Canis lupus familiaris: one gene and its partners. The protein of the gene in region 3 interacts with the protein of the main gene of each other region in a pairwise test. Links are inferred from orthologs where the notes say so. Each region holds a gene or a part of one and is shown on either strand. Other genes may lie near its edges.

The links.
Region 1: the proteins of NUDT3 (region 3) and RPLP1 interact in a two-hybrid assay, tested with the Homo sapiens proteins (2 studies listed by BioGRID and IntAct). The link is inferred for Canis lupus familiaris from reciprocal best matches to the Homo sapiens genes NUDT3 and RPLP1.
Region 2: the proteins of NUDT3 (region 3) and ASB13 interact in a two-hybrid assay, tested with the Homo sapiens proteins (2 studies listed by BioGRID and IntAct). The link is inferred for Canis lupus familiaris from reciprocal best matches to the Homo sapiens genes NUDT3 and ASB13.

What each region holds. Positions count from the first base shown.
Region 1 is NC_049251.1:33,774,976-33,785,141, forward strand, and holds RPLP1 (60S acidic ribosomal protein P1), read left to right. Parts: upstream 1-3,719; 5' UTR 3,720-3,855; coding exon 3,856-3,927; intron 3,928-4,570; coding exon 4,571-4,645; intron 4,646-6,242; coding exon 6,243-6,360; intron 6,361-6,574; coding exon 6,575-6,654; 3' UTR 6,655-6,694; downstream 6,695-10,166. UniProt on the Homo sapiens protein: Plays an important role in the elongation step of protein synthesis.
Region 2 is NC_049223.1:29,321,637-29,331,852, forward strand, and holds the start of ASB13 (ankyrin repeat and SOCS box protein 13), read left to right. Parts: upstream 1-3,944; 5' UTR 3,945-4,030; coding exon 4,031-4,073; intron 4,074-10,216. UniProt on the Homo sapiens protein: May be a substrate-recognition component of a SCF-like ECS (Elongin-Cullin-SOCS-box protein) E3 ubiquitin-protein ligase complex which mediates the ubiquitination and subsequent proteasomal degradation of target proteins.
Region 3 is NC_049233.1:3,859,903-3,870,107, reverse strand, and holds the start of NUDT3 (diphosphoinositol polyphosphate phosphohydrolase 1), read left to right. Parts: upstream 1-3,893; 5' UTR 3,894-4,185; coding exon 4,186-4,284; intron 4,285-4,334; exon of another isoform or gene 4,335-4,734; intron 4,735-10,205. UniProt on the Homo sapiens protein: Cleaves a beta-phosphate from the diphosphate groups in PP-InsP5 (diphosphoinositol pentakisphosphate) and [PP]2-InsP4 (bisdiphosphoinositol tetrakisphosphate), suggesting that it may play a role in signal transduction.

The DNA of each region.
Region 1 (10,166 bases), on a different chromosome or scaffold from region 3:
ACATACTACTATGAAAAAATTGCATATCAACAAATTAGACACCCAGAAGAAATGGGTACGTTTCTAGAAACACACCATCAATCCACCAAGCCTAAGAAGAAATGAAATATCTGAAAGGATGAATAATGACTAGAGAGACTGAATCAGTAATCAAAACCCTCCCAACACAGAAAACCCCAGCACCAGATGGCTTCACCAGACCTTCAAAGAACAATTAACAGCAGTCCTTCTCAAACTCCTGCAAAGAAATGATGAGGCTGGGATACTTCCAAACTCATTATATAAGGTCAGATACCAAAGTGAGACCAGGACACAGCAAAAAAAACAGAAGTATCCCTAATGAATATAAATGGAAAAATTCTCTATGAAATATTAGCAAACTGAATTCAAGGACACAAAAAGAATTATACACCATGATCAGGTGGGATTTATCTCTGGGATGCAAGGATGGTTCAATATATGCCAATCAACAAATATATCACATTAATACAATGAAAGATAGGGGTACCTGGGTGGCTCAGGTCATGATCCCAGAGTCCTGGGATCGTGCCCCACGTGGGGGAGTCTGCTTCTCCATCTGACACCCCGGTGTTCTCCTGCAGACCTGTCCAATCCAACTGCCCCCAGGTGTCCCTCCAAAGTGACTCCTGTCCTAAGGCACGGTGGAAATAAGCTCATGCACCAACATGCCTACAGTTCCTGCAGCTGAGCCTCTCAGCTGACTGCACGGAGCAAGCCTTGGCTGTTGGTGTGCCCACAGCTGAGGCATATAGGCTAAGTGTAGACAGCTGGACTGTCAGTCCTGTCCACTAATGAAACCCACTGCTGCTGCAGAGGCCTCTCAACAGCGGGCAGTAAACTCTGAGGATGCCACAGCAGGCGGTGCAGCTAAGGGAAGCTAGCAGAGCTGAAGGCAATGGCAGCTCAGCCACAACACAGCCCACAAAGGGGACACCTCTTGAGCACCTGGTTCTGGTTACCATGGTGGGGGGTGGGGGGACTGCACTACAGGGCACCACAAGACCTTTTCTACACAAGGCCACTATTTTCAAGACCAGGAGATATAGCGGATTTACCTAATACACAAAACACAGACACAACGAGGAGACAAGGATATGTCCCAAATCAAAGAATAAGACAAAATCACAGTAAAAGAGCTAAATGAAACAGATAATACTCTTGATAAACAATGCAAAGTAATGGTCATAAAGATTCTCACTGGACCTGAGAAAAGACGGCTGTGACATCATCAAGTATAATAGTATTCACATCATGGAGTGCCAGAGAGAGAGAGAAAAGATAGAAAACTCATTTGAAGAAAAAACAGCTGAAAACTTCACCACTTAGGGGAAGGAAACAAACACCCAGGTTCAGAAAGGAAAGAGAGCCCCCAACAAGGTGAACACAGGAGGTCCACACTGAAACACATAATTAAAATGGCAAAAAGTGATGATAAAGACACAATTTTATTTTTTTATTTTTATTTATTTATTCATGAGAGCTACGGGGGGGGGGGGGGGGCAGAGACATAGGCAGAGGGAGAAGCAGGCTCCATGCAGGGAGCCATGCAGGGAGCTCCACGTGGGACTCGATCCCAGGACTCCAAGATCACGCCCTGGGCTGAAGGCAGATGCTCAACTGCTGAGCCACCCAGGGATCCCGATAAAGACACAATTTTAAAAGCAGAGAAGCAAAACAAGTTACGACGGAAAATCCCATAAAGCTATGAGCTGATTTGTCAACAGAAACTATGCAGGCCTGGGCAGCCCGGGTGGCTCAGCGGTTTAGCACCGCCTTCAGCCCAGGGTGGGATCCTGGAGACCTGGGATCAAGTCCCATGTCAAGCTCCCTGCATGGAGCCTGCTTCTCCCTCTGCCTGTGTCTCTGCCTCTCTCTTTCCCTAAGTCTCTCACTGAATAAATAAATAAATAAAATCTTAAAAAAAAAAAAAAAGAAACTATGCAGGCCAGAAGAAAGTGGCATGATATATTATTCAAAGGGCTAAAAGGAAAAAAAAAAAACAAGAATACTTCACTTAGCAAGGTTATTGCTCAGAAATGAAGGAGAGATTAAGCTTCCCAGACAAACAAAAGTTAAACTGGCCTAATAAGAAACGTTAAGGGGGATTCTTTAATTGGAAAAAGGCCATAACTAGAAGAAAATTATGAAAGGAAAAAATTTCACAACTAAAAACAAACATACAATAAAGGTAGTAGGTTTATCCCTTATAAAACCCATATGGAAGTTAAAACACAAAAGTAGTAAAATCAATTATATCTACAAAATTAGCCAAAGCATTCGCAAAATAAAAAGATGTGAAATACGACATCATATACATAAAATGTGAAGGGAGAGTAAAAATTTAGAGCTTTTAGAATGTGTTCAAACTTAATATAGACTGCAATATATATAAAATGTTATACATGAATCCAGTGGTGATCGCAAATCAAAAACCTGTAAGAGGGCAGCCCGGGTGGATCAGCAGTTTAGCGCTGCCTTTGGCCCAGGGTGTGATCCTAGAGGCCCAGGATTGAGTCCCACGTCGGGCTCCCTGCATGGAGCCTGCTTCTCCCTCTGCCTGTGTCTCTGCCTCTGTCTGTGTGTCCCTCATGAATAACTAAATAAAATCTTTAAAAAAAGAGAGAACAGATTGGTGGTTGCCAGAGGGAGGGATGGGATGGGCGAAGGGGGTAAAAAATTACAAACCTGAAGTTAAAAGTCACTGTGGGTGTAACGTACGACATGGTGACGATAGTTAATAGGACTGTGTGTCATATTTAAAGGCTGCCAAGAAAGCAGACCTTAAAAATGGCTATTTATGTATAGTGATGTATGTTAACCAAGACTTACCATTTTTGCAATACACACAAATAGCGAATCATAATGCTATACTCCGGAAATAAAAAATGTCATGTCAATCATACCTCAAAAAAAAAAAAATAAAAAAAGAAAGAAAAAGAAAGAAAAAGCCCAACAACTCTCAATACGAATCCAACACCGATTTTATTAAGTTTCAAAAGATACAAAGTGGCAATGCAGCACCTACACAGAGAGAGGTTGCTTCAACTCATCTTTGGTATCTTAAGGGCACGTTCGAGGCATTTCCACCCAAACACGGAGTGCCTTCGTTATACCAAATGCAACTGTCACGGAAAGCTCCCCTTCCTTCCCAGTAGATCCCTAATACGTAGGTCCCTAACAGTACTCACCCCCTGCGCTGTGCAAGGATGCGGGGAGTCCCGGCAGGCCGCGGCTCAGCGCCCGGGGCACGGTAGGCGCTCGGATGCTGCTGCTGCAGCTGCTGCAAGCTTCTCTTTTCCTCCTGCAGCTTTTTCTCTGGGACGTTGTCCTAAGCACCTGAGACCTCCCCGCAGACAGCTGCTGAGCTCCAGGTGCTCACAGCCCGCGGGGCGCGGGGGGGGGGGGGGGGGGGGGGGGGGGCCGCAGCCTGGTGACGTCATCAAACGTCCAAATAGCGTGACCCCGGATACACTACCTGGGGTGAACTCTATTTACTCAGGTCACTTTTTCCTAAAAGTATTTTTACTGTCTCAGGAGCCCCGAGTTTTACCCCAACCAAGAGAATTCGCAGCCGCAGGTGCCTGATAACCTCTTGACCCCGCTCACCAGCGTGTCGCGCTGTGTGCGCAGGCGCGTTCTCGCCCCGCCTCTTCCGCCAGGAGCGGGCGCCGATTGGTCCGTGGGATTCGTATAAGACGCTGCGCGCAGGCGCGGGACCTCCTTTCCTCAGCTGCCGCTAAGGTGCTCGGTCCTTCCGAGGAAGCTAAGGCCGCGTTGGGGTGAGGCCCTCACTTCAGCCGGCGACTAGCACCGCGCTCGGCACGCGCCCTCGCCATGGCCTCCGTCTCGGAGCTCGCCTGCATCTACTCGGCCCTCATCCTGCACGACGACGAGGTGACGGTCACGGTGAGTGCGGGCCCGGGCGGGCGTCGGCCTGCGGCCGGCCGCTTTCCGTGCGCTGGCGGGGCGCCCTGCTAGGCCCTTCCGGACGAAGCCGCGGCCATCGGCGTCCCGGCGGCGGTGCGGGCGGCCCACGTGCGTGCGTACGTGCGTGCTTACGTGCATGCGGGCCCCTGTGCGTGCCGGCGGGCGGTGCGGGTGGGCCCACGTGCGTGCCGGCGGGCGGTGCGGGCGGGCCCGCGTGCGTGCGTGCCCACGTGCGTGCTGGCTGGCGGGGCGGGCGGGCCCACGTGCGGGCGGGCAGACATCCTGACCCGTTTGCCCGGACGGCCTCCCCGGGCCAGGCTGCGGGATGCGGATGGAGCGCACGTCAGCTTGCTGCACCTGCCGCCCTGCGAGGTGCCCGGCACGCGGGGGCCGCTGCGTCTCCGGTGATCTAAGGGTCATGAGAAATTTTTCGTTTTAAATAAACGTACGCGAAATACAGACACAGTATTTGGTGCGGTTAAACGTGGTTTCTGGACACACGTTTTGAGTGATTTACTTTCAGTTGTAGTGGTTTGGAGACGTTTCCGAAAACTGCGCTTTGCTTGCTCGTGGAATGCGGGTTTTTTTTTTTTTTTTTTAACTTTTTAAATTATTTTTTTAGGAGGATAAGATCAATGCCCTCATTAAAGCAGCGGGTGTGAATGTTGAGCCTTTCTGGCCGGGTTTGTTTGCAAAGGTAAGGAAATGGCAGTAGAGTGATTTGGAGAAGCAGACTTGGGGAGATCAGGGATTTACAAAGTCAGGTGTACTTGTAACACGAGAACGGCTCATAGTTCCATATCTAGAGTCTAAAATTTGTCTTTAACTTCCTTTTTTTTTTTTTTTTTTTTTTAAAGATTTATTTATGAGAGATGCAGAGAGAGAGAGGCAGAAACACAGGCAGAGGGAGAAGCAGGCTCCATGCAGGGAGCCCAATGCAAGACTCGGCCCCGGTCTCCAGGGCCACGCCCTTGGCCGAAGGCAGGGGCTAAACCGCTGAGCTACCCCACACGTCCCCCTGTCTTTTCCTTGTTTGCAGTCTGGTTTCTTTTTCCTTCTGTTCTGAAATCATGACACACACACATATATATGTACATGTATACATAAATGTTACACACCCACCGGATGACTCCTTAAAAGAGTCACCCAGGAGGTAATACTGCCTATGCCCTTCCATTCTTCTTTTTAAATACATAACAATTTTATTGATCCATCAGAAAAAAATAAAAGTACAGTGTAACTTGCATCCCCACTGGGGCTAAATTAGCCCTTAAGCACAGATTATGATTCTTAAGTGCTGATTCTTCTCAATGTCCAAAGTTAATTTTTAATCAAGGATTTCTCCTGGAAATAAGATTTTAAATCGTTTTTCATTCGCATTAGGATAACCATTGAGATCGGCGTCCTGTATTATATGTAAGAAGAGGAATATTGTATGAGAGCTAGGACTCCCATTAGTTCATAGCTAATTTGTGCGACAATGAAATGGTAAAAACAGCAGTGACAGGCCCCAGAGATGAGTGTCCAACTGCCCCTACAGAGACATGGTCATGAATTGGTGTGAACCAGGGGCAGAGCTGTCCCTTATAAAATTGTCAAACTCTTTAACCTCATGAACATTTAGATCTCAGAACCGGGTTTCATGGAAATTGGATGTAGTGGCCCTTATTTTGAACATTGACTGTTGGGATATATATCAAAAGATCAATGAAGACAAGATTCTTACCCAAGGAACTTGGTATCATTTTCTATTACATATTATTTAGTCTCTGGTAAGAGGCAATTAGCTTTGTCTCTCCAGGTTGTGTCCTCCAAAGAGCTTTGAATGATTGAAAACATTGTACTTTCAATAAAGGTACTCCTCTTTAGTAAAGTCCCTGGACTTCGCAGTCTGAAAAATTGAATTCACTCTTAAGATGTGGAACTGGAAAGAATCTTGGTTTGAGTATTTAAGGAAGCTTGAGTTTTTTTGCCAACAACTGAAGCCAGCATTTTGCGGCCAGTTTTTCTCCTCTATAAAAGGAAGGAATTCAGTTACTCTAAGATTTTAAGCTTGAGTAGGTTTTCTTGTGATTAGTTTTTAATATAGCTCTGTGTCCCTAAGTCCTAGGAAATCTCAGCAGACAAAATGTCACTGGCAGATTGCAGCAAAGGAGAAGGAAGGGCAATGTAGTGTTGGGGATTGATTGCTGTCAGTTCAAAAGGGAGGTAAAGGTTACCTCCCTTTAGAGGTGGGAGGTTTGTAACAACAAAAGGCCAGAACTGAGTGTAATCTGTTTGCACGTGTGTTGCAGGCCCTGGCCAACGTGAACATTGGGAGCCTCATCTGCAATGTAGGAGCTGGTGGACCTGCCCCAGCAGCTGGCGCTGCGCCAGCAGGAGGTCCTGCTCCTTCCACCGCTGCTGCCCCAGGTAGAAAACTTTTTTGGTATTGGAGGGAGGAGCGTGGAGATTAAGAGCAATCCTGTCTGTAATACTTAGTTTGCTAAAAGAGTAGACGATAGAAATCCTAAAACCAGGGACATAGTTGGAAGTCTTGGGTATTTTTGACCATGTAAATTGAAGGGCCTGGAGCTCGTTGGAGTTTAAAATACTGACAAGGTGTGTTATTGTTTTTGTTTTTTAGCTGAGGAGAAAAAAGTGGAAGCCAAGAAAGAAGAATCTGAGGAGTCTGATGATGACATGGGCTTTGGTCTCTTTGACTAAACTTTTATAAGCTGCTCAATAAAAAGCTGAAGTCCTGGTTGCTGTCGGTTTTTCAGTTGTTTGAGGATGTTCTGTGTAAGGGTGATCTCATTTCTGCAACACTGGTTTTTAGCCTTTATTGGTATGACGCCAGCTGAGTTTACCCCCCTGCCATCACCTCATGGTGAGGAATAGTACACCAGCCAGGTGCTGCACCAAGAATGTACCTAATACTGCCTCTAGAACTGCATGGAGAGGTAGGAGAAGGGCAGATGCCTTGTCAGGGTCACCTTGAGTTCATGATAACCAGGTCTGTCCCTTTTGACAGGAATAAGAGTCAGTGGTAGTGGTGGTACAATCAAGGCCTCTTAAATCCCAAGTATAGGGGATCCCTGGGTGACTCAGCGGTTGAGGATCTGCCTTCGGCCCAGGGTGTGATCCTGGAGTCCTGGGATCAAGTCCCACACCAGGCTCCCTGCATGGAGCGTTTCTCCCTCTACCCGTGTCTCTTGTCTCTCTCTGTGTGTCTACAGAATAAATAGATAAAATCTTAAAAATCCCAAGTAGGGATCCCTGGGTGGCGCAGCGGTTTGGCGCCTGCCTTTGGCCCAGGGCGCGATCCTGGAGACCCGGGATCGAATCCCACATCGGGCTCCCAGTGCATGGAGCCTGCTTCTCCCTCTGCCTGAGTCTCTGCCTCTCTCTCTCTCTGTGACTATCATAAATAAATAAAAATTTAAAAAAAAAAATCCCAAGTATAATTCTGGCTACTGGCTACAAATTTTTGAGCTATGCTGAACCATCTGAAGTGGAATACTGATATATCCCTGGGTTTATAATTCAGCAATACTGTGAAGGAGTAGTGGAAATTCAGGTTTGAGTCCCCATTTACAGAGACTAAAACTAATTCAAACCTGTATTTGACTTAAGTAGGGTTTAGGGAAGGGGGTGGCTGAGCACTGGTGTGGAGACTGGTTCACTTTGAAATGTCAGAGGAACCCCTATTTGGACTTATAAAAAAGTCCTCAGAGCAATTAGTGCCAGGCATCTGAACATCTAACCCTTTCCTCTGTCTCCCAGTTTTAAGAGAGACCAGGAGTTGATGAAAAGACTTCGTAGCCCCAACTGTCCTCCAGTGAAAGATGTATAAGACCATTAGTGTTAAGTTACACCACCACATGGGTAAGTAGCTGGTGTACCTTACAAAATTGAACACCTAATCCAGCAGTTCTGTTCCTATAATTACCCAAGAGGAAGTATGGACATCTGGGTGCATCTCTGGGAATGTTAAAAGCAGTGTTTGAAAGCAAAAACCTCAAAGATCCATCAACCAGAAAACCAGTGATCCCAAATTATCAGCAGAGAAAGTGAGCTATGGATATAGAAGAATTCTTAAGGTTTAGATGTTACTGGTATTCAAGTTTTGGAGTTTTCATGTATTAGAATCCTTTGAGCATGTGAGGAATGGGTCATAAAGTGATTGTGGGGGTTCCCAGATGGTTAGGTAGAGCATGCAGCTCTGATCTTGGGGTTAAGAGTTCTAAGCCCCACGTTGGGTGAAGAGCTTAAGTACTTAATTTTCCTCCATCAGCTAATAGTGCTGTGCTGATCTCAAGCATGTCCTGTCCTCTGCACAACAATCCCATGGTAAGACCATGTCATGGGTCAGAGGTTAACTTGAGGTAAAGGCTAGTAAATGAGTGGAAGGATTCAGACAGGCTCCGACTGCTCCTCTCCCGGTGCCTCTGCTCCTTTCTCCTGTCCTGTGTCTAAGGACAACACCTGCCTCACTGGGTTCTAGAGATCTGAGATGACAGGAATTGTGCCTGGTGAGCCCTGAAGTGTCAGAAGGGAATATGGACACTTAGCCAAGGAAATATTTTGAACGGATTAAAGAACACTTAAGAAGATAAAGGAAAACTGTATCTAGAACAGCTGAAAATTAAGTGGTAAATTGGGATATAAGTATCAAGTTCAGTTATCCAAACTACAATGAAAATGTTTTCTGTAATACTCAAGTGGTAACATGGCCTCATGGGTGGGTCTAGCTTTCGAAAAGAAATCTTTTAAATGTAAAAATCTAAATACCTTTCTAAAGAATGATATTCAAACAAGGAGATCCACTTACATGTGTAGAGATGCTAACATTCATTTGATTTTGAATTATAAAGTCTGCCCAGGAGACCCTGGGTGGCCTAGTGGTTGAGCATCTGCCGTTGGCTGAGGTGATCCCGGAGTCCTGGGATCGAGTCCCGCATCGGGTTCCCCATAGGGAGTCTGCTTCTCCCTCTGCCTGTCTCTGCCTCTATATCTTTATATATATATATATATATATATATAAGTCCGCCCAGTTATACTCCCCTTTTAGTTTCCCTGACTCTTAATTTCCTCTGCAAAATGGGAATAATACCTAGTTTATACTGGGGGATGAACTTGCCCATCAATGTTTGCTGGTATGCAGATGTTATTTCCCTTCTGTGTAAGGTACAAAAAACACAGCTGGTATCCCTGGTTCTCAGAATCCCATGGTCCAGCAAGCCTAAGCCTTTGCCCTTCAAACCTCCTCCCTGCCAGTCATTTGCAATCAGGCAGCAGCTTTGGTTTCTCATGACTGGTTTTCACACTACTGATTGTTCACCAAACATACTTGCTATTTTTTTTTTTTTAAGATTTTATTTATTCATGAGAGACACAGAGGGGCAAGAGACACACAGGCAGTGGGAGAAGCAGGCTCCATGCAGGGAGCCCGATGTGAGACTCGATCCTGGGTCTCCGGGATCATGCCCTGGGCTGAAGGCGGCGCTAAACTGCTGAGCCACCGGGGCTGCCCCATACTTGCTATTTTGTTTAAAAAGTTCCATTGTTCCTAAGACTCTGTTCAACTCTCTTTTGGCCACTCAGGGCATACCCAGGTCCATGGCTGGCTCACCCTTCCCTTTTTAAGTATAATCTTGCATCAGCAAGGAGCCAGGATTAGGTGTAGGGGAGAATTTTAGGAACAGACTTGCTCACTAACAAACCATCTAAGAACAACAATTTTTAAAACAATCCATATTGTCACCGAATGTGTTGCACAATGGGATAAAAAAAAAAAGAAAATCCAAAGCTCCTGTCAACTGTTACACTTTTTTTTTCTTCTTTCTTCTAAAAATGAGAGAACTACACATGAAATTCTAAAACCACCTTTTGGAAAAGAAATACTCTAATTAAAGTGAAAGAATTCAAAATATTTATGCAACAAAACAACTTGGAATATTGCTACAAATTCAAATAAAGTATGTCAAATCCTTCCTCCCCGTAATTTGAAAGAACAGATACAGTAAAGTTCTGAGGGAACAGCGGGAGCCAGGTGTTCATTGGCTTGGTTGAATAGTGCTTTATAGTTTAGAAGTGATCTTGATGGTTTTCCCATTCTGAACTTTACCATGTCAGGAGAACTTAATTCACCCTGTTTGTACACCAGACTTGCTTGGAGAGTTTGGCTGCCTGCCAGGTTTGCGCAGCTAACGTAAGGCAAAGCTGGGCCTGCCACC
Region 2 (10,216 bases), on a different chromosome or scaffold from region 3:
GATTTGTCTTAACTATAGAGAGCAGATGGTTACCTGAGAAGAGGTGGGTGGGGGAATGGGGGAAATAAGTAAAGGGGATTAAGGGTACACCTATCTTGATGAGCGCTGAGTAATATGTAGAACTGCTGAATCCCTATGTTCTATACCTGAACTGCTGAATCCCTATGTTCTATACCTGTCTGTCAACTATACTGGAGTTGAATAAAAAGCAAACCCAAACCAGATGAATAAATCGATGGAACAAAATAGCATTCCCAGAAATAAGCCCGTGCATGTACAATCAATTAATTTACAAATGAGCCAGGAATATACCATGGGGAATGGACAGTCTCTCCAACAAATGGTGCTGGGGAAACTGGACCACTCTTATAAAATACACAAAAATCAACTCATAAGTGGATTAAAGACTTGAGCATAAGACCTGAAGTCATAAAATTGCAAGAGGAAAACGAAGACAGTAAGTTCCTTGGGCAGGGGAGGAGGGGATGTGTTGACACCAAAAGCAAAAGTAACAAAAGCAAATATAAACAATTGGAACTACTCCAAAATAAAAAGCTTCTGCACAGCAAAGGAAACAGCCAAGTAAAAAGGCAACGTATTGGATGGAAGAAAAATATCTGCAAATCATAGATCTGACAAGGGGTTAATATCCAAAATGCATAAAGAGCTCCTATAATTCAATTACAAACAAACAAGCTGATTAAAAACTGGGCAGAGGCTCTGAATAGTCCTTTTTCCAGTGACGACATACAGGTACATGAAAAGGTTCTTGACGTCATTAGCCATCAGGGAAACACAAATCAAAACCCCTATGTGATACCACTTCAAGCCTGTTAAAATAAGTGTTATTAAAGACAAGAAAACACAAGCATTGGTGCAGATGTGGAGAAAGGGAACCCTGTGCGCTGTTGGATCAGTCACTCTGGAAAACAGTACGGAGGTTCCTCAAAACATAAAAAATAGATTTACCGTATGATCCAGCAATTCCATTTCTGGGCATTTATACAAAGGACGTGAAAACCCTAACTCATGATGGGGTATTTTCTTCCAATATAAGGCGGTTCCATCTACATGGGTAACCTGGGTTAGCACTTGCTACATCAGCACTTGTCGCTTCACCTGGCACACCTACATTTGGGAGGTGGGTTCTTTCCTGAAACCGTATCAACCAACCTCTGCTGGGTTTTCTTCTGCAGCGTCCTCACGTCCAGCCTTCGTGGAGTTGAAGAGAGTTCAGGCCTTGCTCTGGATGAGGCTTTGGCTTACGGGAATATTGTGGCTGGTTTGCTTTTCCATCTAGACCTCTGCAACCTTATTATCAACAATAAAGGCTGTTTGCTTTCTTATCATGTGTGTGTTTGCTGGGGTAGCACTTTCAGTTTCCTTCAAGAACTTTTCCTCTGCATTCACAACTTGGCTAATTGTTTTGTACAAGAGGCCTAGGTGTTTTGGTTTTTTAAAATTCATTTTATTTGAGAGCTTGAGCACAAGTGGGGGCGTGTGTGCAGAGGGAGAGACAGACTTCCTGCTGAGCTAGGAGCCCCCAGGACCCTAAGATCATGGCCTGAGCTGAAAGCAGACCCTAAACCTACTCAGCCACCGGGGCACCCCTAGCTTTTGATTTAAAGTGAGATGTGGGGGACTCTTCCTTTCACTTGTACACATAGAGGCCATTATAGGGTTATTGATTGGCCTGATTTCAATATTATTGTATCTCAGGGAATAGAGAGGCCTGAGGAGAGGGAGAGTGATGAACACACACATTTATCAAGTAAGTTTGAGGTCTTAGGTGGCTGTGGTTTATGGCGCACCCAAACAATTAGAACGGTAACATCAAAGATTATTGATCACAGGTCACACCATTACTAACACTGGAAATGATGTGAAATGCTGCAAAAATTACCAAGGAGGACGCCAAGACACAAAGTGAGCAAATGCTCTTGGAAAAATGGCACCGATAGGCTTGATTAAGGCACAAATCTTCAATTTGTTAAGAAAAAAAAAATCTGCAAAGTGCAATAAAGTGAAATGCAATAAAAGAGAATTAATGCAGAAACATTTTTACTATTTAGACATTTTCAGAACTTTATTGCAACTTGGTGGAAAATGAACTTAGATCCTATAGATTACAAGTTCCAGACTTAAAGTCTCAACAGCAGAACAGAACAAAAAAAAGAGTATGTTCTGGCTTTTGGTGGAGAAATACATCCTGACTATCTGAGAGTGAGGAAACACTCTCGGAGTATGTATTTCTGAATATATAAGAACTTAAAACTCTTCTGAATATTGAGATCAAACAACGGAATGGAGAAAACCTTACCAAATAAGCTAATTAGGAAATATCTGCTCTCTCATGTTTGAGAAATACACACATGTCTATATATAGACATAAATACATTTATAAATATGTGGTTTATAAAAATATAGGGTGTATACAAACGTACATTCTATACTGAGATCCAGATGAAACTTTGTCAAGGAAGAAAAATCAAAGAAAATACGAAGGTAGGACACCAGCATTGTCATAGGAAAAAATAACACCCCACAGCAACCAGATTTTTAAAATGTGCATTTAATACAGAATGCAAGAAACTTGCAAGAAAAATGCAAGAGCCTCATTTTGGTCAACAAGTGGCAATGAGGGTGCGAACCCACACTGCTAAGCGGCTTGAAGTGTCATTTCAGGCCTGGGGTTGGGACTCCCCAGGCACTTTGGTCAGAGGGAGTTCAAACTCCCGCTGGATGCAGCGCCCGCGGTCTAGACCGGAGGAAAAGATCCGAGTCGTCCAGGGGAGGGAGGTCAATCCTTCTGCGCCCTACTGGTCCTCAGGTATATCCGCCCCAGGTAAATCCCGCTGATGCCCCTTAGGGCAGCGCAAACTAACTTCTGCGTGGAGTCTCCGGGTCAGGGCGGCCCGAGAAACCCGGTGACCAGGCCACCAGCAACTTCGACAGACTTCAGCCTTCCAAGCCGGGCGACCGGCTTTTTTTTTTTTTTTTTTTTTTTATTTATTTATTTATGATAGTCACAGAGAGAGAGAGAGAGGCAGAGACACAGGCAGAGGGAGAAGCAGGCTCCATGCACCGGGAGCCCGACGTGGGATTCGATCCCGGGTCTCCAGGATCGCGCCCTGGGCCAAAGGCAGGCGCCAAACCGCTGCGCCACCCAGGGATCCCCGACTGGCTTTTCAAAAGCAAAACAGGCTACACCTCACTTACTCGGTGGCTCCCCCGCCCCGCCCCGGACTTAATCGGAAGGCGGTGCTTCAGTCCCGGGGCGGGCCTCGGAAGGGAGGGAGCGCCGGCTCCGCCCGACACAGGGGACCCGGGGGAAGGGGGCGGGGAGCTCGAGCGCCACGGGACCCCGCCTGGCCGGGCACCGCGCCCAGCAGCTCCGCGGCGACCCTCCACCCCCAGCCCGGGGCTGCAGCGGGACCCCGCCTGGCCGTGCACCGCGCCCAGCAGCTCCGCGGCGACCCCACCCCAGCCCGGGGCTGCAGCGGGACCCCGCCTGGCCGTGCTCCGCGGCGCCCCCCCACCCCCAGCCCGGGGCTGCAGCGGGACCCCGCCTGGCCGTGCACCGCGCCCAGCAGCTCCGCGGCGACCCCCCCCACCCCCACCCCCGGACCGGCCCGAGCTGCAGCGGGACCCGCCTGGCCGTGCTCCGCGGCGCCCCCCCACCCCCAGCCCGGGGCTGCAGCGGGACCCCGCCTGGCCGTACACCGCGCCCAGCAGCTCCGCGGCGCCCCCCACCCCAGCCCGGCCCGGCCCGGAGCTGCAGCGGGACCCCGCCTGTCCGTGCACCGCGCCGGCGCCCTCCCGCCCCCACCCTCCAGCCCACAGCGCCCGGCCGGGTCGGGAGCTCCAACGTGGCTCGCCGTGCGCACGGCTCCGGGCCCCGGCGCGGCGGAACTACAACTCCCGGGTGCCCTCGGGCGCCCGCCCCGCCCCCCGCCCGCGGAGCCCCGCCCAGGTCGCGGGCGCCCGAGTCTCGGGGTGTGCGGGCGCGCGGCAGCAGCGGGAGGGCGGCATGGAGCCCCGCACCGCGGACGGCTGTTTCCTGGGCGACGTGGGTAGGTGCGGGCGCGGGGGGCGCGGGGGCGCCGGGAGCGGGGGGGGGTGGTGGCGGGAGCGGGGGCCGCGCTGCCCCCGGGCGGGCAGGTGCGTCTGAGGACACGCGCGCGGCCGCGGGGACGCGCTGCCCCAGGGCGCGGGCGGGGGCGTCGGGGCGGGCGGAGGTCGGGGACCCGCCGGGTGCCCGCGAGCATCTCGGGCTCCCAGCCCCCGGCCGGCGCGTTGCAGGGCTCGTCGCGGTGGTGGCGCGCCAGGCGCGGGACATCCCAGCCGCAGACGCACCTGCGCACCAAGCACCTTGGGGAGGGCCGGGCAGGTCGCGGCCAGGCTCAGCGCCCAGAGGTGCTCGGTGAGGGAGCCGCAACGTCTTCCAGCGGCCTGCGGGGTCGGGGCGCACCGTCACTAGCATCCTACAGGTACACCCGGCCAGGACCCAAGGCATGCGCTCCGGGAGGAGGGGGTGCCCTTGTGACAGGTCACCCTGTGTGTTTAAGAAAAAAAAAAAAAAAGTCCATCTAGGTTCTTCCCTGCATCTTGCTTCTAATATTCTGGCTACGGAAGAATAAAATAAATTCGAGGGCAAAGGGACATTCTCTGGGGGAAGCAAACATCCCTGCCCATGAACTAATACTACAGACGACACGTGCCCAGAACGCACTTTGAAAACCTGGAAGAAAAAAAAAAAATCTAAAGTACTTTTACACTGGTTAAAAACAGCAGTGCCAATAACGCTGAGGAGTCTTAGGAGTACGTTTGGTCTGAGAGGGATTACTGTCTTAGCAAGGCAGGTATTTGAGTTGATCTTGCAAAACAGCCACCGTCAACAAGATCAAAGGCGTTGAACAAGTGTCTGGTGTTAGCTGGCCTTCCACCCTGGGCACGCACAAGACTTGGACCTCAGCACGATCTGCGTTTGGTTCAGTTAAATAAGTGATGAACAGCTAACCAGGGTGGCCTAGGCACAGTTTCCTTATTTTTGTTCACACACAATGCTTAATAACACAGCATTTACTTCTGAGCGTTTTTGTTTTCGCCTGGTTTAGGGAATCTTGAAGAGAAAAGCACGCTCCATCAATGGATTTACAGCTTCTGAGGCTCGTGGATGTTTTTGACACTCATTCTTTTATTTCCTCTAAAAAAATATGTCCCGATGCTTTTCTTTTCAACACTAATGAATCCGCTGAATGTATTGAACCTGGAAGCCTGCTATCCCAGCAGAAGCAGAGGCCCACTGTAGGAACTGGTAACCCATTTTAACATTCAGATCTGAAAGTCTAGATGCATGGTATATTTCAAAGCATTAGATTTTCCATTTTTTCAATAGAACACCTCACAGAGGTAAAGAGTGTGCTTATTAAGGCCATATTGTAAGGCTCTGCAGACAATTTAGGGCAAGTCACCTCCTTTTTTTTTTTTTTTTTTTTTGGCAAGTCACCTCCTAAGTGAATCCAGAATTCGTAACTCAGCAAATGTAATACAGGTTGTAGCGGACCCAAGGTAAGTGCCCATTTGCACAGTTGAAAACGTGATCCCACATTTAGGATCTGGACCCAAGAGTTGTACCTGAGAGGCTAGCAGAAGACGACAAAGGGTACCTTGAGGACTAGGGTGCTCTAAGCTAGGTGAGCCAGTTTTCTTCAGTCATCCTTGGCCAGGAACTCCAAACACAGCCCACTACTGTCTGGGGTATTCAGAGGGTGAGATGGAAAGAGAAAGGAGAGTGTTTCTGGGACCACCGTAAGAGCCTGGAGCTGCTAGGTTATATGCCAGCACTAGCCGCGAACCCTGGGGCAGCTATGGACAGTCCTTATTGAGTTCATGCAACTAGAAAGAAGCAAGGCTGAGGTTTAAACCCAGGTGGATTTTTTTCTGGGTTGCTTGTTTGACGCTAAAAGGCTCACGCCCTTCCCATAAAATACATTAATCTCTAATCAGTTGGTAAGGTTGAGTGTTTTCTCTGAGCAGTTAAGTCTCAAGAGTGGGCTTAAAATATTCAGTAAACTGTGTTGGAAACATTCGCGTGCTCACCTAGGCTTTGTTGTTCACTTATGAACACAGGAAGAGTAGATTTAGCATAATTCTTAAGGGCCTTAGGATTTTTGAAATGTTCAGTGACCATTGGCTTCAACTTAAAGTCTCCAGCTTAACAGCTCACGAGAGAGCCTGTCTGTCCCCTGAAGCCAGGCTTTGACTTCTCTCTAGCTGTGAAAGTCCTAGATGGCATCTTCTTCCCATAGAAGGCTGTTTCATCCACACTGATAATGTTTGGTGTAGCCACCATTAATTTTCTTAGCTAGATCTTCTGGACCGCCTGCTGCTTCCCCTTGCACCTTTGTTTTGGAGGTGGCTCCTTTCCTTAAACCTCACAATCCAACCTCTGCTGGCTTCCAGTTTTTCTTCTACAGCTTCCTCACCTTTCATGGAATGGAAGAGAGTTAGGGCCTTACCCTAGATCGGGCTTTGGCTTAAGGCAGTGTTGTGGCTGGTTTGATCTTCTCTCCAGACCACCTAAACTTTCTCCATATCAGCAGTAAGGCTGTTTCATCTTATGAATGTGTTCACTGGAGTAGCACTTTTAATTTCCTTCAGGAACTTTCTTTGCATTCACAACTTGGCTGTTTGGTGCAAGAGGCCTAGCTTTCAGCTGGTGTTAGCTTTCCACATGCCTTCCTTTCCGAGCTTAATCATTTCTAGTTTTTTTTTGTTTTTTTTTTTTTAAAGATTTTAGAGTGAATCTATGTGAGTGGAGGAGGCTGCAGAAGGGTAGGTGAGAAGGAGAGAGAATCTCAAGCAGACTTGGTGCTGAGCAGGGAGCCTGCAGTGGGGCTGATCTCACAACTCTGAGGTCGTGACCTTCACTGGTATCAAGAGTCGGATGCTGAACTGACTGAGCCACCCAGGCGCCCCTCATTTCTAGTTTTTTTTTTTTTTTAAATTTTTATTTATTTATGATAGTCACACAGAGAGAGAGAGGCAGAGACACAGGCAGAGGGAGAAGCAGGCTCCATGCACCGGGAGCCTGACATGGGATTCGATCCCGGGTCTCCAGGATCGCACCCTGGGCCAAAGGCAGGCGCCAAACCGCTGCGCCACCCAGGGATCCCTTTTTGGTATTTTTTTATTGGAGTTCGATTTGCCAACATATGGTGTAACACCCAGTGCTCATCCCATCAGGTGCCCCCCCTCAGTGCCCGTCACCCAGTTACCCCGACCCCTCGCCCACCTCCCCTTCCACTGCCCCTTGTTCGTTTCCCAGAGTTTCATTTCTAGCTTTTGATTTGAAGTGAGAGATTGGGGGGGGGGGGGGGGACTCTTCCTTTCGCTTGAACACATAGAGGCCATCATGGGGCTATTAACTGGTCTTAATTTCAATGTTGTGGGCTTAGGGAATGGGGAGGCCCGAAGAGAGGGAGACTGGGTAACAGCGGGTTGGTGAAATTAGAACACACACATTTGCCGATTCAGTTCACCATCTTATGTGGGTGTAGTTTGTGGCACCTGCAGACGGAGACCATCTGAGGTGATTGATCGATCACTGGAACAGATGTAATAGTTGGGAATATTGCAAGAATTACCAAAGCATGACAGACACAAAGTGAAGCAAACACCGTTGGAAAAATTGCAACACAGAATTGCCACAGGCCTTCAACTCGTAAAAAAAAAAAAAAAAAAAAAAAAAAAAAAAAAAAAGGCAAAAAACCCCAAAAAACAAATTATCTGCAAAGTGTAAGACATCGAAGGCTCCCTGGCCTTCCTGAGCTGCCTCTCCCTTTTTGCTGCAAGATTCAGGGCCTCACACCCTGTTTTCCTCTTTGTAGGGTTGCAACCCTTCACACTACTCCATTGGGTTTTCCTTCTTTCGGACCAAATTTACAGTGAAGGCCACTGTTCACTAACCCCCAAGACAGGCATGCCAGGGACAGGTGATTACTACTGGGGAAGCAAGTCCCCTTCCTTTTTTTTTTTTTTTTTTTTTTTTGCAAGTCCCCTTCCCAAGGCAGTATATAGAAAGCCCCACAAGCTCGGCTCTTATATTTTGTGAGAATTGAATCTTCCTGAGTTTCAGCTCTCCTTTTGCCTCTACCCCTCCCTCCCACCCCACATATGATCAGGTCCCTGTTTACTAAGAGCCACCATTTGGCGAGCACTTTGTGCCAGGCCTCACACTAAGTGCTTTTGCTTACTTTAGCTCACTTTACAGTTTATTCAGTGGTGGATTATGAAAATTATCAACAACCCGATTTGTAGGTGAAGAAACACTCGGGGGGGGGGGGGGCAAAGTCCTGCAGAAGCTAATGAGTGGCCAAGTTTCAGATGCAGCAGCAGAGAGCTCTCGGCCCCCATACTTTCCTGCCCCACGGTGGAGGCACTGGGCCAGCTTCGTAGACGGCCATCAGCACGTAAATGAGGAAGTTCTCCCTTGGCGGAGGAGAGCAAGTCACCCCACTTGGGGTCTGTAGGAGTGCTCCGGCAAGATTTGTGGATGGACTGGTGGGTTAGGTGGTTTTCTAGGGGAATGTAATAAGACGTGTAATGTGATAAAAGACAAGTGCTATTATGAAGAGGAATGGGATCTTGCCTTTGAAGTAGGGGGCGTGATAATAAGGGTGGGTCAGTATTAACCCAGCATTGCCATTTAGGACTTTTTTTTTTTAAGCCTAGTGCCTGGAAGATGCCACTGTATCTTAGGTAATGGACACTGAGAAAACATAGCTGTAGTGTGTGCATTCAGGTAGGTCAGTCTCGGGCTAGTTTGTGTGCTTTTGTCTCCATTTGACCCAGACAAGAACCCTCCTCACATAGTAGGGGGCCCAACCGGAAGCTGGGCACCAGGCCCCACGTGACCTTGGGCTCACTACATTCAAGGCTTTGGTGCTCAGCCCCGCCGTTCTTGTAGGCTCCAAGCTCAGGCAGGTGGCTGGAGGGCTAAGCAATTCTGTGATCATGTCTAGGCAGTATCCAGGCGAAGCAGGGAGATGGTCTTCTCCTGGAAGTCCTTGGGACAGAGGGGAGTTTTGAAGCTGTGAAACCACTCACACGCTCGCCTTCCTTTCTTGGGAACTACAGTTGGGTCAGGTGTCCTGACAGGAGTGAGGATTACTGTGATTAACTTAGAGCACTCCTCTGGGCGTGGAACGGATGCTTCTGGGAACCGACCTATGTGGCCATTAGTCTGTTCTCCAGTGTGGCAGGTAGCAGGCAAACAGGTGATGACCACGGTCTGGTGGGAACACACAAGCAGGCGGGTGGGCCATGGGAGCACAGACAAGATGCTGACCCAGATAGGGGCAGAGGTGGGGCAAGTCCTCCTGGAGAGAGCCATCTTTGGATTGCAGTGTGGAAAGATACAACTAGAATTTATGTAGGGTGAGTGAGAAGAGGTAGGAATGGGGTGAGGAGTTTGAGGGGGAGAGGGGGCTTTATTCACAGGGAGAAGTACTGTCTCGGCCAGTGGCTCTCAAAGTGTGGTCCCCAGACCATCAGCATCACATGGGAACCTATTAGGGAATTCACATTCTCAGGACCAAGACCTGTTGACTCTGGATGCTGGGGTAGGGCTCAGCCATCTGTTCTCAGGCCCTCCCCCCGCTGTTGCTGCCCCGGCGTGAGTGCCACTGGTTAAAGGTATGGGGAGGCCAGAGCGCCACTTTTATGTACCTCATTTCTAGAGCTGAAGAGTGATGGGAAGCGGTGAGCTAGTGTGGGAGAGAGAATTTTACTTCCTATTGGGATCAGAGTAGTGCCTTTACTAATCACAAATTTGTTGAATGGGTCCTTTGAGGTTGATTGCAAAAAGTTATAGTCAATTTGAGATGAAGGAAAAGAAAGCCATTTACCAAACTCATGAGAGCTCTAAGTACTAAGAGAAAATCTATAGCTGTAAATGTCCGTATGAAGAAATAGCTCAAATGAACATCTTGCTTCAGATACCGCAAAAAGAAAACTAAAGCCAGAGAAAGCAGAAGGGAAGAAATAATATAGACAGGAAATCCATGAAATAGAGAATAGAAAAACAACATAGGAAAAAAAAAAAAAAAAACAAAACCAAAAGTTGGTTCTTTGGAAAGGTCAACAAAATTGACAAACCTTTAGGCTAAACTAATCAAGGAAGAAGATGCAAATTATGAAAAATCAAGAATGA
Region 3 (10,205 bases):
GACTGTCCCTATGGAAAGGATGAGTAAATATGGTCAATTTTGTAATCCTATTAAAAATTTTCCCTAGACTTGCCCTGGGACTTGAAATGTTATTTACTAGATCTTTACCTACAAGACTTTTGGAAAATTGAACATTTTTAGAATTATGTATTTGTTAATTTATTTGAGGGGTGCCTGGCTGGCTCAGTTGGTGGAGCATGTGACTCTTGGTCTCAGGATTGTGGATTTAGGCCCTACATTGGGTGTAGAGATTGCTTAAAAATAAAATCCTTTCTAAAAAAAGATTATTTAAATCTATTATCACCCACTATCATCCTTGGAAGGGTAGCCTATTCTCAAGCATTATCTCTTACCTCCTTCCCCTCTGTTAGGTACACTGCCTGGGATATATGGGCAATGAATGAATGAACTAGAGACCAGGTAAATTTTATATGAGGTGTGACAGGCAGCTTTAACTATGGACCCCAGTGATTTTTTCTTTCTTTTCTTTTTTTTTTTGAAGATTTTATCTATTCATGAGAGAGAGAGAGGCAGAGACATAGGCAGAGGGAGAAGCAGGCTCCCTGCAAGGAGCCCAATGCGGGACTCGATCCCAGATTCTGGGATGAGGACCTGAGCTGAAAGCAGACACTCAACCACTGAGCCATCCAGGTGTCCCGACCCCAGTGATCCTTGCCTTCTGGTACAAGGTATAATCTTCTCCCACACTAAGTCAGGCTGACTAATGTGGTCAATAGAAAGCTGTGAAACTAACAAAGTGTGACTTTCAAGGCCAGTTCATATAAGGCATTGCAATTCATTCAGTTTTTGAGTCTTGTATTGTTTGCTTTTAGAGGAATCTGACCACCATGTTGTGAGGATGCTCAAGTAGCCCTACGAAGTTCACATTAAAGGGCACAGAGCCTCTTCTACCTGTCAGCCATGTGAGAGAGCCCCCCTGGACGCGGGTCCTGCAGCTCGTCAAGTCTTCAGATGACAGTGGGACCAGCCAACACCAGCTTGCTCACCTTATAAGGGACACAGAGCAGGACTGCTCAGTCAAGCCACTCCAGGATTCTTAACCCACAGAAATCATGAGAAATAATAACTGATTCATGTTCTAAGCCACTAAGTTTTGAGGAGATGTGTTATGCATTAATAGGTAACTTGTACAAGAGCAAAGATCAGACCCAGTAGGTGCTCCTGGGGGACTTGAGGGGATGGACAAGGTAGTCCTGGGAGGGAGGAGAGAAAGGCATGTTAAAGGAACAAGACAGAGTAAGGCACTTGTGAAAAACAATTTTCTGGGGATCCCTGGGTGGCGCAGCGGTTTAGCGCCTGCCTTTGGCCCAGGGCGCGATCCTGGAGAACCAGGATCGAATCCCACATCGGGCTCCCGGTGCATGGAGCCTGCTTCTCCCTCTGCCTGTGTCTCTGCCTCTCTCTCTCTCTGTGTGGCTATCATAAATAAATAAAAATTAAAAAAAAAAAACAAAAAAACAAAACAATTTTCTGTATTTTGTTTAACATTTTACCCAAGATCACACTAAAAGTTATTACAGATGATTTCTGACATGCTGGGCCAGGATAATGTTATGTGATCTTCATTCAGAGGACCAGATTTTAGGTGTGTCGTGTGGGGTGTTCCTGTGGACAAGTGATTAAGCTTTATACTCAAGATCAGGTTCTGGACGGGCAGTAGTTGTTCTTTCACTAATAAAATGTTTTCAAGGTTGATTCTGTTAGGTCCTGGGAAAATTGCTGAGTGAAATAAGCAAGGATGAGTGAGACACAGACTCTGACTTCAATACATTTGAAATATGAGATTGGCAAAAAAGAAAGTGACAATGCCATGTGACAATGTGATAAAGCAGGACAAACTCAGGCCAGTAGGAAGCATAGAGGCAGTTATGCAGTCAGAAGGAGGGAACTTTTGAGTTTTATTTATTTATGATAGACATAGAGAGAGAGAGAGAGAGAGAGAGAGAGAGGCAGAGACATAGGAGGAGGGAGAAGCAGGCTCCATGCTGGGAGCCCGACGCAGGACTCGATCCCGAGACTCCAGGATCGCGCCCTGGGCCAAAGGCAGGTGCTAAACCGCTGAGCCCCCCGGGGGATCCCCAACTTTTGAGCTTTAAAGGATAAATATAATTTGGCTTCTTCTCTGGGTACGTGGGGAGGGATAATGGAATAGGTGAGGGTATTGGAAGAAGAGCCTAGAGCCTTCTGGACACCAGGGAAGCATGTTCAAAGGCTTACCCTGGTATACTGAGACCTGGAATACCATTTGCAATTCTGCTCTCTCAACCCTAATAAAGTGGCAGATAGTACCATGTAGCTGTCTAGCTGCTGGAATGATTGTACTCAGACAACTTTTCTGGGAAGGCTTTGGCAAGAGGTAGCAAGAGCCATAAATATGTTCCTACCCCCTTGATCTGCCTCTAGGAATTCATCCTAAAGGAATATCTGAAATAGGGACAAGGATTTATATACAGGGACATTCATTACTGTTCTAATGAAACAGAGGACACCATCTAAATTTCTAACAATGAGGAAAATATAAAATAATTGATGGTCATCCCTATGATGGGCTATCAGGTAGTAATTAGAAAGGTATTTTTTTAAAAAAAAGATAACATAAGGGGAAAGACGGGGGGGGGGGGACAGGCTACAGATCTCTATAGAATGTGCTCAAAGATACATGATTTAGTTTTTTATGCCCTCTGTATTTTTCAAAATTTTGACAATGATCATGTTACAGGATTTCTACAGCCAGAACTTTTTTTTTTCTTTCCTTTTAGAGACCTAATGGCAGAAGAGAAAATTAGAAAAGCAACCAAAATGACCAAGATTTTGGGAATTCTATTGCATGAAGATTGACCCAAATTAACTGAAATTCCACATTTTATGTGGCTAGGATTAGGTGAAATGCCATTGATATTATTTGCAATGTATTAAGTGACTAATTGCCAGACAAAAAATAGAAGCAAATAAAACATGTAACCGAGATTCCAACAAAGGCTTGGTTTCAAAACCTGATTTTTTTATGTGCTAAATACAAGCAAATTAAATAAGGGCAATAAGCAACTCACAGACAAATCCCGCACAGGTTTTACACCACGTTCAAGGAATGGGCATGGTATTATGTTTGGTCTGGGCTGCTGGGAATATTCACAGGTTATATTTCATTTTCCCTTGCTCCTGTGTCTTGCTATATATTTTCTCTGGAGAATCTGACGTCCACACTATAAAGTCCTCGTTTAGTGCCAGAAATAAGGATGTTTTACAATTTGCATTATGTGTGTAGAGCACATACACATGTATCTTCCTTGTCTGGCCCTCCTGTTTACCTTAACAGGAAGCATCTGTCTTTGCACCCGTCAAGGGCTGCGGGATGAATACGTTGGTGCCCCGGTGCTCAGGACTCCCAGCGCTCTGGAGGTCCAGGCTCTGTGCACAACGCCCCTCCCTCCAGCCTCCTCTCGCCCGGGGCCGCGCAGTGCCCGATCCTGGGTAAATCCCGTGGACGCTCCACAGCGTTTAACCGCATCCGGCTTTTTCCTCCAAACCTTCCCCTTCCCCGCTCCCAGAGAACCCGCAAGGCCAAGGCGGGCGGCCCGACCTTGGGCAAGTCCCCGCTTCCCCCTCCGCGACCCCGAGGCTAGAGAGGCACCTCTCGGCGGCCCCGGGCGACCCCGCGCCCGCACCCCGCCCTCCCCCGACTTCCTCCGCGCGCGCCCCGCCTTCCCCACCCCTCCGCTCCCGGCGTGGCGGCCGCCTCCGTTCGCACGGCCCTTTCATTCCAGACGCTCGTTTACGCCGCGCGGACTGGGAGGGTGCGATTCCCGGACGCCGCCTGCGCTGCGAGCGCGCGGCCGTCCCGCAGGCCCGCGCGGCCTTACGCCGCTGACGCAGCGCGCCCAAGATGGCGGCGCGGTCGTCGTCGGGGGTGGCGGCGGCAGAGGGGGCGGCGGCCGTGGCGGCAGCAGCGACGGCAGCCGTGACGGCGGCGGCGGCGCGGGGCCTGGGCCGGGGGGAATGAGGCAGCCGTGGCGGGCCAGCGGCCGAGCCGTGTAGCGGAGAAGCGGCTCCCCCTCCCTGCTTCCCTCGGCCGAGCCGGGGACGCGCGCGCGCGCCGCCGTCCGGAGCGGGCTCCCCACCCTCGACTCCCGCGACCCGCACCGCACCCCCACCCGGGCCCGGAGGATGATGAAGCTCAAGTCGAACCAGACCCGCACCTATGACGGCGACGGCTACAAGAAGCGGGCCGCGTGCCTGTGTTTCCGCAGCGAGAGCGAGGAGGAGGTGAGGCTCCGGCCGGGCGGGCCGGGGGTCGCCGGAGCCGGCCGAGGTGCGGGGGGCGCGGCCGCGGGCCGGGGGTGTGCCGGGCCCCGGGCAGGACTGCCCCTCCCGGCCCGAAGGAAGTGCCGCCGGAATTCCTTGAGCCGGAGCGGAGGAGGGAGGAAAGAGGACGGACGGTGGGCGGAGGGGCAGCGGGTCCGAGCGTGGCCCCGCGCGGCCTGAGCACGGGTCAGGCCGGGGGAGCGTGGGAGCCGACCGCCTGTCACGGGGCCGGGGGCCGCCGGGAGAAGGCGGTGGGTGCGGGACAGCGTGTGGCCTCGGGGCCGGGCCTCCGGCGTCGGCTCCAGGAAGGGCGGCCCCGCACTTGTCAGCCCGCACATGTGTGCAGAGGCCGCCGTGCACGAGGCGCAGGCCGGCCCTTTGTGCCAGAGAAATAGTCCACTACCGGAGCAGGTTTGGGGGTGGCCGAGGGGTTACGTGTGTCTGTGAGCCCATGGGGGTGGTTGGGGAGATTTAGGGCGTTGTACAGACGCCAGAGCCAGTTGTTTGTTTATTTTACAATGCGCTGGGTAGCCTTTCTGGTGTAGCTGAGAAGAAAGGACGTTCGATAAGAGAATCTTTATGACCTGAAAATACTTCATTTTAATTGGGAAGCCCAAAAGCCATGTTTAAGATCTGTGCCCTGACATTGCCCTATCGGAAACTCTTAAGGATTGAATTTGCTAGCAAAATGGACATGCTTAGAATCAGTTTCTTTTTTGCATGGAGTACCTAAAAGAAAAAAAAAAAAAAAAAAGAAAGAAAGAAAAGAAAATCTCAGCTTGCCAGAGCCGTTTTTGTGGTGATAAAGGGAATTTAGAGAAGGCAAACGTTTTTGTAAATCCACAAAGAGTAGCTGCTTTGGAAATTCATAAGATGCCTGTGGGAAAGCGTTTCTCTCCTGTGCATGGTGGTAAAATGGCAGTTAAACTGGAAACAATGAAGGACAGTGAAATTCAATATGCTATATTCTGGCATTCAGCAGCGGGCTATAGTGGCAGGGCTGCAAGTACAGTGCATCGTGTTGAAATGGGGGGAAAGGAACTTGACCCGTTAGTTATGAAAAGAAGCTGTGATGAAAGAGACAGATGGATTGCCAAGAGTTGCTGTCCAGAGATGTTTAGGAGGAAGTGGGACTTTAAATTATTGCCTGAAAAAAATTAGTCAAGCAGTAATTGTGCTGTTGAGGGACTATGTGTGTGTGTGTTCCCTTTCAGCAAAACAGAAGGAGAGGGAATTTGGAAATGTATACTTCGTGTTTTATCATATATTTTATCATATATTTTAAAAGTCCCCAAAACAGATGCATTGTAATGGGGTACTAAGCAGGGCCATGCTGTGAATGATGCAGTTTTGGAATATATACTTGAGTAAAGTAAAATTTTTGGTGGTGTTTACTGCTCCAGAGGCTTTGTTCTTTTCATTTTCATATCATATTACAGGAAATCAGATGGGATCACAGTCTGTTTTAACTGGAGGGAAAATTAATTAGCATAATAACATGTCTTACTACAGTACTGTGGTTAAGTCTGTGAGCACCCCAATTATAAGTAGAAGGGTGTATAATTTAGTTGTATGAATGATGCAAGACTATTTGTTTAAAAAAATCATACTGAAATTGAGAACATGTGAGTATTTTGGATAAATTGGAAACTTCATAGATCATAAGCAAACTAAGACTTGATTTTCTATTTTTTCTTAGTTTTGTTATTTACTAACATTAACAGACTTAATGTTAAGACATTTGGCTGATTGTGGAGTTTTCTCTCTTGAATTTCTTTTTGATCATTGGTTAATGAGCAGAAGATTCATGCAAATTTTTAAATTTATTTTTATTTATTATTTATTTGTTTCATGCAAATTTTTAAAAAATAATCTGAATTTTATTTTTTTATTTTTTTATTTTTTATGATAGTCACGCACAGACAGAGAGAGAGGCAGAGACATAGGCAGAGGGAGAGGCAGGCTCCATGCACTGGGAGCCCGACATGGGATTCGATCCCGGGTCTCCAGGATCACGCCCTGGGCCAGAGGCAGGTGCCAAACCGCTGCGCCACCCAGGGATCCCTCATGCAAATTTTTAATTACAGATTCGGTGGATGTTACAGCTAAAGCCCAGAAAGGACAAGAAAATTAATGAAATGCACCCATTTTAGACTTGTTCAGTTCAATTAAACAAGTATGTGTTAAGAGCCTACTATGGGTGCAGCATTCTATAATGTGAGATTTAAAGATAAATATCCCTTTCTGCCCAAAAAAGTTGAGTACTTTTTGATGGGATCCCTTAATTGGGAGGGATTTTGGACCACAAAATAATCTCTAGGGTGCCGTTCAGCTCTCAGATTACATAATTATGTTAGAAGGGAAGTAATTTGTTAGTTCCGGGAGAACTTTTATGTTCTCAATAGAAGTGCCAGAAACTGGAAGTATTAACTGCCACACATTGTGGGAATGTGAAATTCAAATTCAATAGGACATTCAACCCAATTTTATTTTTTAATGGGAAGCAATGGCTTTAATCAAGATAGAATAGCTTACAGAATACTGTTAGCATGAATACAATAGTAATGTAAGAATAAAGAGACCCTGGTTAATAAACTTAACTAACCAGTGTCAGGAAACATACATACAATGTAAAGAGAAAGAGATAGAAAATATTGGAATCAAACCTTCGAACATTCTGTTTTTTCAGCCCCAGAAGATTTTATATGCCAGCAGTGACAGTTGAAACACTGATCCAGGTTAGGATGTGTGAACATATTTGGCAAGTTGGCAAGTTTACAGAGCAAGTTTATTGAGATACTGTTACATATAGGGAGTTTAGAGTCTAGAGGGGGCAACAGAAGAACAGGCCCAACAGCATGAACAGAGTGTGTTCCTTTCCGTCAGACCTTGGACTGCTTTTCCTGTGAGTAGACAAGAATCAATAGCAGGAAACTCCCCCCACTTCAAAGTTTTACTAATTGTTATCAACATTTTGATAAATTAAAACCTTTAGGTTTAGGGCATTCATGATAACATATTTATTACTGTACTTTGAACCTACTGATACACAGTAGACAGTCTCTTACCCAATCTCCATTTAAACCAGCTTGGTATACTGAATACCCTTGTTATTCTGTGAGCCACTGGGTCTCATATACACCCCCAACCCAATCAGTCCTGTGCTTACATAGAGTCAGTTGTATTTATTCCTGTATTTGTGTATGTTCATCTTACTTGTTATTGTAATTATGTAGTGTAATTAAATATGATATAAGCATGTGAGATTTGAGTTCAAAAATAATGGTTTTGTGAGTATTCTAAATTCTTTGGAATGACTCAATAATTTCAAGTCATTAAAAGAAATTACTGCTCAATTATATGGATAAGCAAACTGCGAAGGATGGAGAAGAGTCTTAAAAGTCTAAAAGGACTCTGCACATAGATCACTTCATGAATGTTTTCAGGTTTTCGTTTTTCTTTATAGAAACCTGGACCAGAGAGGGCACCTGGGTGGTTCATTCAGTTAAGCGTTTGATTCTTGGTTTTGGCTCAGGTCATCTCAGGGTTGTGGGATCAAACCCCGTGTCTGGCTCAGCAGGGTGTCTGCTGGAGATTTGCCCCCCTCCCCCCATGTTCCCCCTATCCCCTGCATGTGTGCATGAGCACGCTCTTGCTCTCTCTCTCTCAAATACATGAATAAATCTTAAAAAAAACAAACAAACAAACAAAAAACCTAAAAACCTGAACTGGAAAACAGGTCATGCATGATGGGTGTGGTATATGAAAGACAACTCAGCCGTCCAATGATAGATTCAAGACAAGATCTTAGACCTACAAAGATTAGCAAGTAAGTATACATTTGTATTTTTAGTCTGCCTTATCTTCCCAGTTAATGTTTTATCATAAGCAGTATACAAGACTGAAACTGGCTTCTTGAGTAAGATTTTATTCTTCTGGACTGGGTGACAATAACAATCAACTTTGTCATATTGTTTGTCTTTGGTTCTCTGAAAGCACTTCCGGTTGAGATTTTTCCCTTATCCCTCTTTTTTTGAGGCTCTGTGATGACAGGAAGTGAGGGACACTAGAGGTGGGCTTGCTTGTGTTCTTGTACTCTCCCCAGAGTGGAGTGGGGGAGTGGAACAGGCATTTTAGACAGTTGAAATATCTAGCAGTGTGAAATACCCTCCTAGAAAGGCCAGTGACACAGTCTGGACACCAGATGATGTCACAGTGCTTGGGAAAGTTAAAGCTGCGCCTAAGGGTCTATTTTTACTCAAGGTAAAACACGAGTATTGATAGGATCATCTTAGATTTCTCTGTGTATTAAAACTGCTTTTAAAAGGAAAGGATAGATATGCCAGGGTAGCTCAGCTGTTGAGCATCTGCCTTAGGCTCAGGGCGTGATTCTGGGTCTGGGACACTGGGCTCTCTGTGAGGAGCCTGCTTCTCTGTCTTTCTATGTCTCTGCCTCTTTCTCTATGTGTCTCATGAATAAATAAATACATCTTTAAAAAATAAAAAATAATAGAAAGGTCAAAACTGTCCTTAAGGGTCTTAGGTTTGTTGGTTGAGCTTTTCCATCTCTTGGCAAGGGACTGCTGCTTCGCACTTTCTCTGAACTCACGAGGGTGGGTGGGGAGATGACTGACATTGAAGATCCTCAGTGGGCAGGGACTCTGGTGGCCTGAGTGTTTGTTAGTAAGAATGTCCCAGAGGAGCAGGTGGACGTCATGGCAGACCACACCTTCTCCTGGGCTCTAGAGAGGAGAGTAAAGCACAGGCAGCAATCCCAGAGGCAATAACCATGACAAAGAGCTTTCAGTAGATCCCAGGCTGGTTGGAGAGTCTTTTTGTAACATATCTCTGGTCATTGTCCAGTATTACATTGTTCTAAGATCATGATGAGTGCATTGATCCAGTCATCTGATTGGACATTACTGATGCTCATTTCTCTCATTCTTTTCCTGGTGGCTTCTTGTGTGTGTGCTCTCTCGTGCTTACGTAGTAATACTGGTTAGTCAGTTAAACATTTTTCCCATTACCTCCTTTTCTATTTTGCTTCCTGAGATGTGAATTCTGGTCTGAAATCATACTGCAATCTCCATTCTTCTTTTCTATTCTTTGCCTTAACCTTTTTTGCTCCTGAGTGATTCTCATTTCTCAGTAAATATCGGGTTGCATATCTACTTTGTATGAAGCAATCTCTCATTTTCTTCATAGCCTAGTCCAAAAAGGAAGGGCCCTTGTTCAAGAATACATTAGTTTACTCATTTTTTGAGGGCCCTATTGTGGACTAGTCTCTGTGCAAGATCCTGCAGTGTATCTTTACACTGGTAAATAAGTCTATGGTCCCTCATAAAGTCAGCTTTTCTATCTGCTATGTATTTGTGCCCATCCCCTCCTGCCAGCCCAGCAGGGGTGGGTGTCCTATGGGTGTCCTGTCTTTCCTGCTTCATTACCAAATCCTTCTCTACTTTATCATTCCCAGCTGAGCAGGGTAAAGTATTTTCCATCTTAAAAGAAATGCTCCCTTACCCCATGTTCCCTCCAGCTACCATCCCATTTCTTTCTTCCAGTTCCCAGCAAAACTTTTCTGTATTCCTTGTCTCCACTTTCCGACTTCCCATTTCTCTTGAACTCATTCCAGTCAGGCACTCTTTTTTATGATTATGCTGGAATCAGTCTTCAAGATAACAAGTTAACAAAACCAGTGGCCAGTTCTGAATCCTTGCTGCCTCATCATTACTTTCTTCTTGAAATACTTTCTTTACCTTGCTTCTAGGACATCTTTCTAGTTCTTCCCCTTCTTATTGGTTATTCCTTCTTAGTGTATTCCTTCTCATTTTCCCGAATTCTTTTATTGTAGTGCACAAGGACACAATCTTTGAACCGGTTCC